Linked DNA regions of Lonchura striata. The protein of the gene in region 2 purifies or fractionates together with the protein of the main gene of each other region. This does not show direct contact. Links are inferred from orthologs where the notes say so. Each region holds a gene or a part of one and is shown on either strand. Other genes may lie near its edges.

Region 1 (6,930 bases), on a different chromosome or scaffold from region 2:
TGCTGAACTTGAACGCCTCTCACTGTGACAGGGCAAGCCCAAATATTTTGGGAAGAGTCCTTGTTATGTTACGACAGGGGTTGGTAGCACTGATGCTGGGGACAGGTTTTGCTTTAATACAGAGCTGATTATGCTTCATTATTCAGGGAACAGCGTGAACTTGGGCAGGCAGGCTGCTGGGAGAAGGAGGATTGCACTTGGGCACTTCATATTTGTAGGATGTGCTGAAGGTCTTCCAAGAGATGCTGTCTCTTAGAAGAGGTCAGTATAGGAGGTCCTGAAAGATGTTTTTCTGTGGGTGAGAAAGTAGAAGAAATAAAGCTTTTTTTTCCAAATAATATAAATGTTTAATGAAGCCCCTACGTGTAGACAAATACCTGGGGAAGAGCTTGTATTAAAATACCTTTTAAATCATATTTTCTATCCCTCAAGGTGGTGTTTGCTTCCTACAGTGTACATCTTCCCTCTTTGATTGGTTTCCTCTCCTGAAGTCAAGCTGCATCTTGGCAGTGCTTTGTGCATCTCCAGTGCTGCACGAGTGTCCAGCACGCGAAGTTTCATCAGTCATGGACTTTTAGCAAGATTGGATGTGTCCTGGAGTTTGCCAATTCACGTACGGCACGTAATTATATTCAGGAAGCAATAGGAATTAAATGACATTAATTCCCATGAATATTCATTTAAGAATCTCGACCAAATTCAGGCAGATTAATAGTCCAGCGAAAATACAATGGCTATTCATTGCCCCCACAGGAAAAGGAAATATGTATTGGCTGGCAGCTCAGGCCAAATGGAAATGTGCTATAGAAAAGTTATCTCTGGGTGGCTTCTGGTACAGTGGTGGCTGGAGGGACACCTCCAGGAGCAGAGAGGATTACTGTGGGTATGGATGTGGGGAGCCTTTCCCATCCACTGGGAACCCAGAGGAGTCTGGGGTGAATCCAAGACTCGTGTCTCTGCACTGCCTGTGCAAATCCAAACCAGCTCTGACTGCAGAGGAGCTTCTCTGGACTCACAACAGAGCAAAATGTCATTTGTTCTGTGCCTGACTCCCTCTGCCCTGTGCGTGGAGCCAGGCTGCAGCCTGCTCTGCCTGCATCGTGATGCTGCAGGGCAGCACAGCTTCTTCTTTCCCTTACACACAGCACCAAGCTGGCTGTGCTGCTGGCTGCCTGCTCTGCCACAGCCAGCCCAGCACCAGCCCTCGGGGTGGCTGTGGGGCAGCCCTGTCCTGCCAGGCACCTCCTGGCACATGGGAGCTCAGTTCTGTTCCAGCTTGTCCTCCCAGCACAGGCCAGGACATGGTTTCTACTGTGGCCAGGGAAACTGGGAGAGAGTATAATAGCAAAAGCAGATGAAGGATGCAAATACATTTGAAACGGAGGGATCACAATTTGGTATGCTGGAAACCCCCCTCCCCAACAACAACATTTTATTTAATTCCATTTCATTTAAAAAATATCTAGGTTTGGTTATAGCCCTCATTTGGAAGAACTTTTCATTTTGTCAGACAAGCCAACTTGAGACCTTAGCTGTGTCACATTATCTCTTTGTGGGACTTCCCCGGTTGGAGAACAGATCCACCTTCCACTAAAGTTGGTGCAAGTGCTGCTAGAGCATGGGGTTTAGTCTCTAAGCTGATGTTTACACCTTTTAAAATTCCCCCTCATAGGCAAGTTGACGTTTCCTACCCTTGAAGTTCTCTGAGCTAAAGAAAGGTCCAGTTATTTTACAGTGCTTGTGTACCATGTGGGCAGAGGTGCATTTTCTACTTTTTTGAAGGTTATTTTTTGCCAGACTGATCTGACTTGCCCCGACTACACCAAAAACAAGGAAATGTGGAGAGCAGCTATCACCATCTTGCCAAGAAAGAGTTTTGCCTCTAGTTGCAGTATGAGCATACTCACAGGGCTGCTTCTTCTTGTGCTTATTTGAAACAAAAGTCAGATAATCATAAAACCAGGCTGTAAATCCAATGTACATTTCTCTTTACGTCCGCCAACTTTTTGGGGCAGTACATGGTGTGTATCTCATCTTTTCATGTCTGATGTAAAAGGTAAAATAACAGCTGAGTACCCACATGGGCTTTGCACCTACGCAGGAGTGCCAAGTGGGCCAGGAACCCGCCGTGCAGCCTGGTGATGTGCTCTGCAAAGCCTCATAAACCAGTGACTAAGGCAGAAAGGACTCCAAGGCCTGGCTCCTGGGACATTGGAGGTGTGGCATTACAGTAGCTTGGAAAACATTCTGACTTTATAACAAGTAACACCTATAATTACAGAGGCGTCATCACCTTCATTTTTTTTTTTTTTTTTTTTAGCTAACAAGCTGTAGTTGTAGCCTGTATACATCCCTGCCAAAATCTGCGAAGTATTTGCTCTTGGGATGGTTCTACCGGTGGTGGGAATATCAAGCATCTTTCTCCAGGCACTTGTAAAACAATACAGCAGTAAACAATTCAAGCACAATTAGCAGCTACATAGGCAGAAGGGGAGGGAGAAGTCCCACCGCTGGTACTGTCTGTGGAATTAATCATGTTTTACAGAGTTGATATACTGGTTTGGATGTGTGAAGTTAAAAACAAGAGATGAAGAAGTAGCCAATAAGTGTTTATTCGAAGCTGAAATTTAAAACAAGTATTGTTTCATAGCGGTAGAGAGTGTTTAAAAAATGCAATTTTAACAGGTTTTGCTCCATTTTCTTCCTACTGAAGAAACAGATGAACTAAAAAATATAACAAGATGATGTTCGCTTTTAAAGCTGGTGGTCCCGCCAGGTCACACAAACCCCGGTGTCTCCTGCGGTACCGGAGCTGCAGAAGCGGGATGCTGAAATCTCCGCTCCCGGCTCTCGCCCGTTCCCGGCCCCGAGCGCTCCCCGGTCTGAGCGCACCGCTCCGGCAGCGGCGCGAGCATCACCTCCGCAAATATTTATTTGCAGCGATTTTCCGCTCTTAATTATTTAAAATATAATGAATTACGCATAAGTACCTCGCTATTAGGGTAATTCCAGGTCTTAATTGCTGCCGGAGCGGCTCCCGCCGTTCCGCCGGGAGGTGGCGCCGCGGGCCCGGCGCTGCTGCCGGAGCCGCCGGGGCCGGGCGGGGGACCGGGACCGGCACCGGGACTCGGGGAGCGGCTGGGCGCAGCGCGGGGCTCCCGCGGGCGCGGCTCGCCCCGCGGTAGCGCTCCGGACGGCGTGTGAAACCATCGCCCCCGGCCCCGGGTCCGTCCTGCGGGCAACCACACGAGTTCGCCGAAAAAGCAGGGAGGGAAGAAAGCCGGGCGGGTCAAAGAAAGAGTTTTTTTTCCCCCGAACGAGTCGGTCGCTCGGTAACTTGGCGGCCGCCCGCTGACTCCCGCCCGCAGCGCCGGGCAGGACGCGCTCCATCCCCGCGGGGCGCCCGACGAGCGACCCCCGTCCCGCCGGCGCCGCGCTGCTGCCGGCAGCGGGCCGGGGTCCCGGGCAGGGCAAGGGGCTGCCCGGCGGGGCCGCTCCCCTCGCCTGCTCCGGCCGCCGTCAAGCGAGCCCCCGCGCCGCCGGAGGTTCCAAATCCATCGGTGCTGTTAAAACTCGCGGCGAACGAGTGCCGAAGCCGCAGGGCTGGGGCAGCCGGGTGGTCCCGGCTCTGCCCCCGCGGGCGCTGCCACCCCTCTCCTCGGTAGCCCCGACGGCGCGGCCGGAGCGCTGCCGCTCCGCGCACCCACCGAGATGCGGACCCACTGCCGCGCAGCGGGACCCAGCCCGGTCCCCGGGACGGTCAGTCCCGCCGAGCGGCCGGTGCGCGCCGCTGCGCACCCGCGCAGTGTGTCTGAGCGGTGTTTGCGCCCACAGCAGCGGGCGCTGCGGGGCGAACGCAGGCAGCGCCCGCTTCGCCGCTCCGCGCAGGTAAGGCGGCTCCGCGGGTACCTGCGGAGGGCACTCCGGGGTCCCCCGCATGCCTCAGCTCCGCTGGCCTGATGCCCCGCTGCCTCCCGAGCGGCCGCGGAAAAGTTGGTAGGGGTGCGCAGCGCTGCGCGCCCGCCGACGGGGCGGCCCCGGCCGGGCGCTGAGCTGTCCCTCGGGGTGCGGAGGGGCGCGCAGGGATGCGCAGCGCTGCGCACCGCGCTCCACCGCCACTTTCGCTTCCCCGTGGGGCCGCCCCGCCTCCCCCGGCCCGGCCCCCCCCCGCCTCCCCGGCCGTCCTCCGCGGAGCTCCGCGCCTGCGGGGCTCTCGCCCTTCACCCCCTGCGCGCTTCACCCCCCGCTTCTATTATTTTATTTTTTTTTTATTATTATTTTTCCCTTGCGCCGAGCCTTGTTTACCCAGCAGGTGGATGTGACGTCAGAGACTGACAACAGCAAAAAATAACAACATCTCCCTCCGCGGGGGTGTCGTGGGCCGCCCCCGGCCCGCCCGCGCGGGGCTGCGCGGGGCGGGGAGGGGGCGCGGGGCGGCGCGGGGCGGGGGCGCGGCGGGGCGGCGTGCGGGGCCCGCGGGCGCGGCGCCGGGCGGAGGGCTCTATTGTTATTTACCGAGCGGCGGAGCACGCCGCCGCGCCGCCCGGGCTCGGCGTGCCGGAGGGACGGGAGGGAGGGACGGGACGGAGGCAGCCCCGCGCCGCTCCGCGCCGCCGCCCGCCCGCGCCGCGGCCGCGCCGTGCTGGGCAGCGGCAGGGCCGAGTCCTGCGGGTGAGTCCGGCGCCCCCCGACACTTTCCCCGCTCCTCCGGGGCTGTTGCACTTTTCCCCCCGCCGGCCCCACGTGCCCGGCCGCCCCTCCCCGACCGCCGCCGCGGTACCGGGGGGGTGGGGGGATGTGGGGCGGCGGTGCGCGGATGCGGAGCCCCCTCCCCGGGCTGCGGGGCCGCCCGCACCCCCTCCCCGCCCACTTTGGAAACTTCCCCCCCGCCCCGCGCTGCGCGCACTCCCCGCCGTGGTGGGATGCGGCGCGTCCCGCCCCCCTCCCATCCCTGTTCGTGCTTTCCGCGTGTTTTCCGCCGGGTCTCTCCGCGCCGCCGCGCAAGGGGCGCGTACGCCCCAACTTCGGCGCTCGGAGCAAGAAGTTGCGGTGGGGCCGCGCCCCCCCTCCCCCCCGTGCTGTGCCCGGCTGCCCGTTCCCCCCTTCCCGGGCACCTGTTGCGGCTTCACGCCCGCGCAGCCCCTTCCGCAGACGCGGAGCCCCGCGCCGCGCATCCGCCCCCACCGCTGGTCCCTGGGACGCGTTGCGCCCATCCCCCCTCCCCTCTATTTCTTCTTCTTCTTTTTTTTTTTTTCTTTTTTTTTTTTTTTTTTGAAACGAAGTGTTTGAATAAACACCCGCGCCTCCTCAGCTCAGCCCGGCGCAACTTCTCACTGCGCGGGTGCGGACCGCGCATCCTTCACGCGCGTGTGTGAGCGCACGTCCCCCTCCCGCGCAGCCCCGCGGTGCGGAGCCTCGGGACGGAGCCGCGGCTCGCTGCGCGCCGCGGAGCCGCCGCCGCTGCCCGGTAAGTAGGGCCGCCCCGCGCACCTGCCGGCCCGCGCTGCGCGGCCGCGTCCCCGGGCAGCGGAGGGGTGCGCGCTGCAGGCGGCGGCCGAGCGGCGTGTCCGCGCCTCTCTCCTCCCCACCCCCGCCCCGCCGGTTTGTGGGTTTCTTTCTTTCCTGGAAAAAAAAAAAAAAGGCAACAAAAAAACCCAAAACAACAAAAACCCCAAACCAAGCCATCGAGCGGGGCGCGGACAGCTGCGCGGGCAGGGCTCCGCGGGGCGCCGCGCAGCCCCCTCCGCTCCGCCCGGCAACTATTAATGACCGGGCGGCCCCGGCGCGGACAGCATCGCCGGGCGGGCTGCGAGCGCCGCGCTTTCAGCGACTCTTCTGCTGCCACTTCGCTGTAATGATTTTAATTGCGTGTTTTTGCTTTGAGTGAACCAAGCCGAGCGCGATTACTTTTTTTTTGTTTTTCCTTTTCCCCCGTCCTTTTCCCTCTGAGCCTGGCAGCGGCGGCAGCGCGCAGCCCTCCCGTCCCTACCCGAGGCATCTGCCGCCTGCGAGCGCTCTCTGAGCCGCTTCTGTAGAGAAGCTAGAGCTCAACTTCCGTGCTCAGAAGTTTAAGGTTTCATTTTTAGTAACTGTTCTCGGAGTGAGTAATGGATGTGTACTGCTCGTAGCGTGGCGTCTGCACCATATAGCCTGCTGATTTCTGGGGTGCTGGATGGTTCTAAATACTAAAACAGTTCTCTAAACTGTGTTTCCTTTCCATACAGTTTTTCTAAACTTGGATTTTACTTGATTTGACGAAATGTTGGTGTCACTAGTGACAGATGCTTAATTAGACAAAGTTGCAAGCATGTCATCAAAGAAACTTTTTTACCTTTGCTGTTAATCCACGGCTTACTTTTAATATTTTGGAAAACAGGCATTTTGCTCGGTTTAGGATTATTTTTGCAGTTTTTATTACTGCTGAACAGCTCTTACGTTTTATAAGTTTGAGAGAGCCTGAAATAACTCAAGTTCCCAGAGAAGCGAGTGTGGGCAAGGAGGTACCGTGCATCTCGGCAGCTACATTTGGGGGAAGACAGGGAAATCGGGGCTACTCGTTTCAGCTTCTCTCCTCTGAAGCTTTTCCCCTGCACATTTTGTTTGAACTATCTCCCAACCATATTGAATGGACCAGGGCACTGGGGGAGGAAGCTCTCCACTAGTTACCATTCAAAAGGTGTCGGCTAAAATCTCATTGCAAAAAGGTATTGTAGCTTTAACATCTTGCATTGGCAGCATTCTTCCCCCTTAGTCTTTGGATTAGTCATTGTATGAGAGACAGGAAAAAAAAATCACTTTTTTTTTTTTTTTCTGGAAAAAGTAAAGTAAACAGCCTCCAACAAGTGAACCTTGACAACCCAGATTAAGGAAGGCAGGAGAGATCAAACAAAGCTGCTGCTGGGCTGTTGTCAGGAGCTGCCTCACTGAAAG
Region 2 (6,996 bases):
CACCATACCCACCTGCTCGGAGGAGGAGAACTCCACTGAACAGTGGGACAACCTGTGCTCCTTCCCACCTGAACCAGCACAGGCCTTCATATTCGTGCCTTAGGCCAGTCTGGTCTGCAAATACAAGAAATGATGGTGACACACACCCACTTCTGCCTCCTGGCACTGGGGTTATAATGGCCCCAGAGAGGAAAGAGAAGCAAGTGTGGTAAAATCTCAATTCACAGCAGTTTTCTTCAGCGTATGAAAGCAGAGCACTGAGGTTTCTGCTCTGCTCCACCAAATAACACAGAATGTTTGTGTTCCTGAAAGATACATCATTTGCATGCAGTGTTTAATGTTTTTCTCTGATCATTAATCTGGAGCAAAGCTGAAGGCTATTGGAAAAAAAATGAGTGAAGTTCTCCTAAAGGTTTGGAGTATTCTCTGCACACTGCTTAAGTTAAACTAATTGCTAATTCACATTAACAAGACACTGAATGAGGACAAACATTAACACATTATGATTCAACTGGACAACCAAGAAATACAAAATGGAAGCTGATTTTTCATCTACCTTTTATGACACCAGTGGACAAGGAAAAACTAAAGAAGATACAGTACCAAACGTCTTAGTAGATCCAACTTCATACTTCCTACTGAAGAATAAAGTGGTAGGATTTATAAGAACTCTAAAAGCAAAGGCATATAGGCAATTAAACTAAATTTAATTAGATTAAGACTCAGCTTTGTAAGTTTGTATGGTAGGTTAAGCAGAGGACATATATTAGCCTAATATTCAGGAAAAAAAGTACAACCATAGTACATTAATGACCATACCCAAGAATAACAATAGCCATAAATATTTTGTTTAATTTAGCAGGAAACTACAGAATTTAACAACTTCATAAGATCATTAGCTTAGTTCTCATCCCCACATTTATCATGCCAACATTTACAATATAAATCAACAGCTGCAGACTACAGCTGAAAACATGCCAGAAATATGCATAGGTTGTATCAATATTTGCACATGGAGCCTTGAACGTAAATTAGTTGACACTCAACACTTCAAGCTTTCTCCCTGAAGTTGCAATATTTAAAGGTTAAAGATTAGACATGCTCCCTCTTGTGTTAAACTAAGAATACACGAATGCATGCTGTTTCCTCTGACATGATGGTTGCTTGGCCATCTGTTCCATCAAGCAACCCCTTTAGCTCTGGCTACTAACGTCTGAGAAAGCCTCACCAATAACCCTCCAGTTTAAAGACAGTCTGAGCACATAACCTGTATCCACAGAGTATCTGTGCTACATTAAACTAGCTACTGTATTATCAGAACTATCAGGACTATTAAGAGATTATATATAAACAAAACTTGTTGCAAATAAGTGTCTTGGACAAATATGTACATGACTTGATCAACTTCATGGCAAGTCACACTTCTTCAATCCCTATAACCATCACAGAGTCAAGGTATGACAGGTTCAAGCTGTTCAGTACCATAATCACACAGAATACTCAAGAGCAAATTTCCTTCTAAATATTAGCTTACAGGATATTTAAGACAGACAGGAAGAACAGGAATATTTTACAATGCCACATAATTATGTTTGTAAATACAGCAACAATTGAGCAAAGTTTTCGATCCTCCACCCAAGCAGCCCAGGATGAACCATTCCCTGCACAGAGCCTTAATGGAGTCAAAATCCCCCTTATAAAAATCCTCTTGCAGGATCTGGTCCCAAGATCATGTCTAGACACGAACGCTAATCCCAGGTGCAACTAGCACAAAAGTTTTACTAACACACTTCTCAGACAAAGGCTTTGCAACTGGTATGGGCTTGGTAAATTATGTTTAGGCATACATTTGCTGGTTATGGTCAGCACGAGGCTGAATGCTAGGGCAGCTGTGAGTAAGTATCAGTAAAAAGAATTGGGAGGCAAAGAGAATCTAACACTCAACTACATGACTTCCCACATTCCCTTTTATTTACCCCCATTCCTGGACAGATATTTTCAGTGCAATGAGGTCTATGCACATCAGAAATAATGCCACCAAATATTCTCAGAAATATACTTGCTCTTTCAAACCATGGAAGTTAAATGTGTTCGCTCCTCCTGGAAGTATTGGTGTTTATTTTCCCTCAGTCTTCTGCAGCCCAGTAAAAATATAGCCACAAAGATTAGAGAGAAAAAAAAATCATCACGGTTATTGATAGATACAGGTTTTAGGGTCTCTTTAAAGCTTCAAACTCAAGCAGCACACTGCTTGAAGCACATTTGCTGCCAGTGCATCAAGAAACTTAACTTTTGACATCGGCAGCAGCAGAATGAAGTTAGTATTTTACTGCACGCCCAGGTGCTGCGGGCACATTTCCCCTCTGCTGCACGCTCGCGGTGATGAAGGTTCTGTCCCAGTGCCCGTGTCACCACTGAGGAGCACCAGCGAGGAGCGAACACCGAGACACTGCCCTCTACGCCTTACCCAGAAAGCAGCTTTACATTAGGACTGACACTCCAAGAGCGTCTTTATTCCCTCGCACACACAAGTAGAAACTCTGCAGGACCGCGTCCCTGTTTGGTTTTTTGTTTTTCTTTTTAATGGAAACACTCACGTACGTCCGGCAGAGGACTTACTGCTCGCTTACAGCGGTGCTTGTCACCTTACAGGGGCCGGCCAGAGGTCAGCGGGTCACGCAGAGCCTCCGAGCGCAGCCATGGAGATCCACAGCCCGCCGGGAGCCCGCGCACACCCGGACCGGCCGGAGCCGCCCGAACCCCGCACCTGTGGCGCCCGAGCTCCGCTCCCCGGCGCGGCTGCGGGAGCGCGAAGGGACCACCGGAGACCCCGGCGGCCGAGCGGAGCCGCCCCCCTCCCCACCCCGTCCCCCGCGGGGCGGGCGGGACCGGCCCGGCTGCGGCGGGAGCTGCGCCCGCCCCACGCCTCCGCTCACCGGGGAAACTCGGCGCCGGCCCGGGGAGCCGAGGGCAGGGGGCTGCCGCCGTCTCCGCTATTTAAACCTCTTCCCGCCGTCTCCGCCTCACTGGCTCCCACTCGCTCCCTCCGCCCCGCGGAACTCACGGGGGCGGCCCCGCCCCTCCCGATGTACACACAGCCACACGCCGCCCGCCGCTCCGCCCGCCCGCCCAGACGCACCGGTCATTGGTTCAGCAGCCTGCCCGTCAACTCGAGAAGCGACAGCATTGGCTGGAAGCGCTGTCCATCACAGCGCGTCCCGCCCCGCGCCCCGCCCCTCCCCTTCCCGGACACCTCGGGGGTGTTAAAACGGCCGTTTGAAGTCACCAGCAAAATTTACTTTTAGGCCCCGCCCACTGAGTCCCAGAGCATGTTCTGATTGGGCCATGGGAAACGGCTCTCTGCCTCCACTGAGTGGCTGGGTGTCCATAACGCCCCAAATCCCGCCTATCCCGCTGCCGTAGTCCCCTTTGATTTGTCCGCGCCTCGGCGCGGCCCCGCCCATTCCCTCCCCGCTGCCCATTCAGGCGCGGCTCTCCGAGCCCTGGGGCGGTGCCGACACTCCCGGCGGGGGAACGTGAGGGAGCGAGCCGCTCATTGGCCGGCGCGCCGTCACTCTCCCTCCGTCTCCGCCCCCGCGGAGCGTACCAAGCCGCGGCGGTGGCGGGGGGGGGCAGAGCGCGGCGTTGGTTCGGCCCGCGTCCATGAGGGCCGGGGCGGGGCGCGCGCCGTTTCCCGGTATGCCGCGCGCGCCGTAGGTAGCTCCCGCCGGGACGCGCTGGGAAGGAGGGCGGGAGGGAGAGCAGGGAGGGCGGGGGAGGCCGGTGCCCGATCCAAGATGGCGGTGCAGGAATCAGCCGCTCAGCTCTCAATGACTCTGAAGGTGCAGGAGTACCCCACTCTCAAGGTGGGTGCCGGGCCGCCCCCCGGCGCGGGGGGAGCGCGTTAACGCCCTCAGCGTCCCGCCCGAGCAGCGCTGAGGGGGAGCCCCTTCTACCCCCGGTTCTCCCCGCCTCGGGAGCCCCGGGGCTGCGGGATGGAGGTTGGGAGCGATTCCCATCGCGTAGTTCCCGCCTGTCCTCGTTTTTCCTCCGCTTGACGTCTCGGCTGGTGCCGCTCCGCTGCTGCTGTTCCCATCCCCCTCCGCGGAGGGAGAGGGACGTGCCTGGAATATGCGGCTCTTCCCTGGTGTCTCCGTGCCCTGAGGGGACGGGGGAGGCCCCCGGGCCACGCTGGGGACACAGAAGGAGCTGGAAAGGAGCTGGGAGAGAAGTGAGGTCCTTGTGCTCGCGGGGCGGTGTGAGGGGGGAGCGGGCTGGGACGGAGCCGGGCTGGGGGAGAGGGTTTGGGGCGTGTGAGTGGAATGCACTCCCTCAGGAACGCCGAGGACTGCCTGACGTGCTCATCCCAGGTGATTATCTGGATCTACGTGGCGTTGTTAGGAGACGTGTTAAAGGGGAGAGAGTGGAGGTGGCAGTGTAATATGGTTCCCTGGCTGCTTGGTCCCCCGAAGATGGAGATGAGCTTAAAATATAAAAAGGTTCAGACGTACTGGAGGGCTATGGAGCCGAATAAGCCAAAATACAGTTTGGGAAAAGCTGTTCCTTGACATACTGTGTCTGCCTGCAGGATGGAGGTCTTCCAGGGCTGCATAGGTGGTCTTGGGCTTTAACCAGGTGTTGTGAGGCAGGTGAAGGACTCGGCGATGACCTTAACGCTCAGTGCCTCCGAGAACTGTTGAACTGCAAGGATGATGCTCATAGGAATCAACGGGAACCTTTGTTTGAAGTCTCGAGTTGTGTATACAGGAGGTTTACCACATAAATAGCAGCAGCTGTGGAAAGGACATGGGAGAAGGATCTCTATTGCAGAATGCTTCTTTAGACATCTCTCGTGTCAGCGTATCCACATTTTGCCATCTGTAGAAGATGTTTGTGCAAAGTCAACTTTGTTGTGCTGTGATCATGCTGTCCTTCACACGCTGAGCATTGTGTGCTCTTTACAGTGTTGGTTCTGCAGGTTCTCTGGCCATGTTCTTCTTGTGCATGTCCTCCTCCACCAGCTCCGTTCTGCTCGGGTCTGAGAAGGAGAAGGACAAAGTGTTGATTCTCCTTTTACATGTGAAGGCTCCATTCTTTCGCCCAGAAGTACTTTGAACCTGACAGCATCAGGCTTAAATTTTAAAATAGCTGTAAAGAGCTCTCTGGCACTTCCCATAGCCAGAACAATGTGAAGGCATTTAATGCTAAGAACATCGTTTTAAGACTGCATTTTAGGTGTATTAGAGTTGTTACCACAGATTTGATTGCTACATTCCTGAAAAATTACTGGCAGTGAGGATCAGTGAGTTTTTTGTTGTGGTGCTTATGACTTAAGATGAATTGTCAAGGTGCCAGCTATTTAAAAGGTAGAGAATATTTTGGACTAATTCTTTTATTTTCACAGGCATTCTTTTCCCCTAAAATACCTCAACAAAAATATACATAACAGAATGGAATGTTGTTTGTAAAGTTAGCAAGCTAAATAGTAAGAGGGTGAGACACCCTTGCACTGAAACTCTCAATTTCTAAGCAAAGGTGATGTTTATTGACTCTTCCCAGCAGCCATTCAACTTCTGGGTTGTTCCTGTAATCTTTGGTAACATTTTTCATTGTTTAAAAAAACCTACCAGAACAGTGTCTGCTCAAATCTTTTGAATGTGTCCTCTGAAATGTTCTCAGCTGTGAGTCATATATCAAAACATTTTACTGGTGAAGGTGGAAAAGCAGCACAGAGAAATGAACAGTAAGGCTAAAGTCTACTAAAGTAAGTTGATGTGAAATCTCATTTTGATCTTTAGGAGTCAAGTGCCTACAAGTTTCTGTGAAACTGAGAATCTGAATTTTTATTTCCAGTTTATTCAAATGCTGTGTAAAATGAATGTGTATAACTGTTGGGTTTTGGTTTTTTTTTTATTCACCAGCACAGTAGCTCAGATGTAGCTCTTGGAGCTCTGGTGATTTTCCCTTATGTGAGTAAAATAGAAAAGATTGCAGACTTGTATTTATATCCTTCCTGTTTCTTCCCTCTAGCTTCCTCATGCCAGCATCACTAGATAATAGTTGTGTAATAGTTCTACATTTACAGTGTGTTCCACAGAGTGCTTTCCATGTGAAAGGGTGCTTCAAACTGCAGAGGGAAATCCCTGCTCCAGAGCTAAATTGTGGTTGCTACTGGAGTGGAAATACTTGAGCCCTTCTTCAGCAGTTTGGCTCAGGGGAAGTAAATACAGTTCTTCAGCTGAATCTAGAGAAGCTCTTTAAGTGTACAAAATAATTCTTGAATATTCCCCCCTACACCCTCCAGTCCCTTCTCAAGGACAAGAAGGTTGTCAGCTATTCTTCTTGCAAACTGCTGTGGATTTTTTTTTTCTTTAATCCTACTGATGGGGAATTCTGCTAGTCTCAGATGAGAGCATGTAAGATGAAAGCTGGCAATTTGAAAATGAATGAATGCAAACATTGTTATCAGAGTTCTTTTCTGAAAATAATAAACAAGTGATGACAGGAAGCTGGATAATTCATCCATATTTTTAAAGTATGAATAATTATTAAAGTGATAGCAAGCTGTATATGTGAAGATCCCAAAAGTGGAAGATGCAAGACCCAAAAGCAGGAATGATCACTTTTGAAAATATTCTGGGCTGTTAGTTGGCAAGCAGTTTTGGCTTAGCTGATGTGCTAGTGCTTTAAAAAAAAGTTGCAACAGGAGAGTTGTAGAAGCACAGGATATGTCAGTGCCTTCTCTGAGCAAGTGTTTGGTTTCTTTTGTTGGCATCTCTGTCAGAGAAAATACAACAGATCTAATAAGATTGTAATTTCTCATGGAAATGCAATTTTTGGATTGTTCCAGGGAAACATGTAAGAGACCAGGTTTGTATGAAGTGCATGTTGTTTCTGTCTTGTGTCTGCAGAATAGCTGAGGTTAGAAAGGACCACTGCAGACAATTTAGTCCAGTAGCCTGCCCTCCAAGCAGGATCAGCTGGAGCAGGTTGCTC

Evidence for each region. The genes of interacting proteins can lie anywhere in the genome.
Region 1: the proteins of CTBP1 (region 2) and FOXP1 purify together in Homo sapiens (affinity purification with western blotting; 3 studies listed by BioGRID and IntAct, with this or other methods). This does not show direct contact. The link is inferred for Lonchura striata from reciprocal best matches to the Homo sapiens genes CTBP1 and FOXP1.

What each region holds. Positions count from the first base shown.
Region 1 is NC_134614.1:20,739,309-20,746,238, reverse strand, and holds the start of FOXP1 (forkhead box protein P1), read left to right. Parts: upstream 1-3,870; 5' UTR 3,871-3,888; intron 3,889-4,601; exon of another isoform or gene 4,602-4,671; intron 4,672-5,272; exon of another isoform or gene 5,273-5,467; intron 5,468-5,832; exon of another isoform or gene 5,833-5,851; intron 5,852-6,930. UniProt on the Homo sapiens protein: Transcriptional repressor. Can act with CTBP1 to synergistically repress transcription but CTPBP1 is not essential. Plays an important role in the specification and differentiation of lung epithelium.
Region 2 is NC_134606.1:7,055,765-7,062,760, forward strand, and holds the start of CTBP1 (C-terminal-binding protein 1), read right to left. Parts: upstream 3,061-6,996; 5' UTR 2,937-3,060; intron 1-2,936. Other genes in the region: E3 ubiquitin-protein transferase MAEA, read left to right, coding at 3,798-3,866. UniProt on the Homo sapiens protein: Corepressor targeting diverse transcription regulators such as GLIS2 or BCL6. Has dehydrogenase activity. Involved in controlling the equilibrium between tubular and stacked structures in the Golgi complex.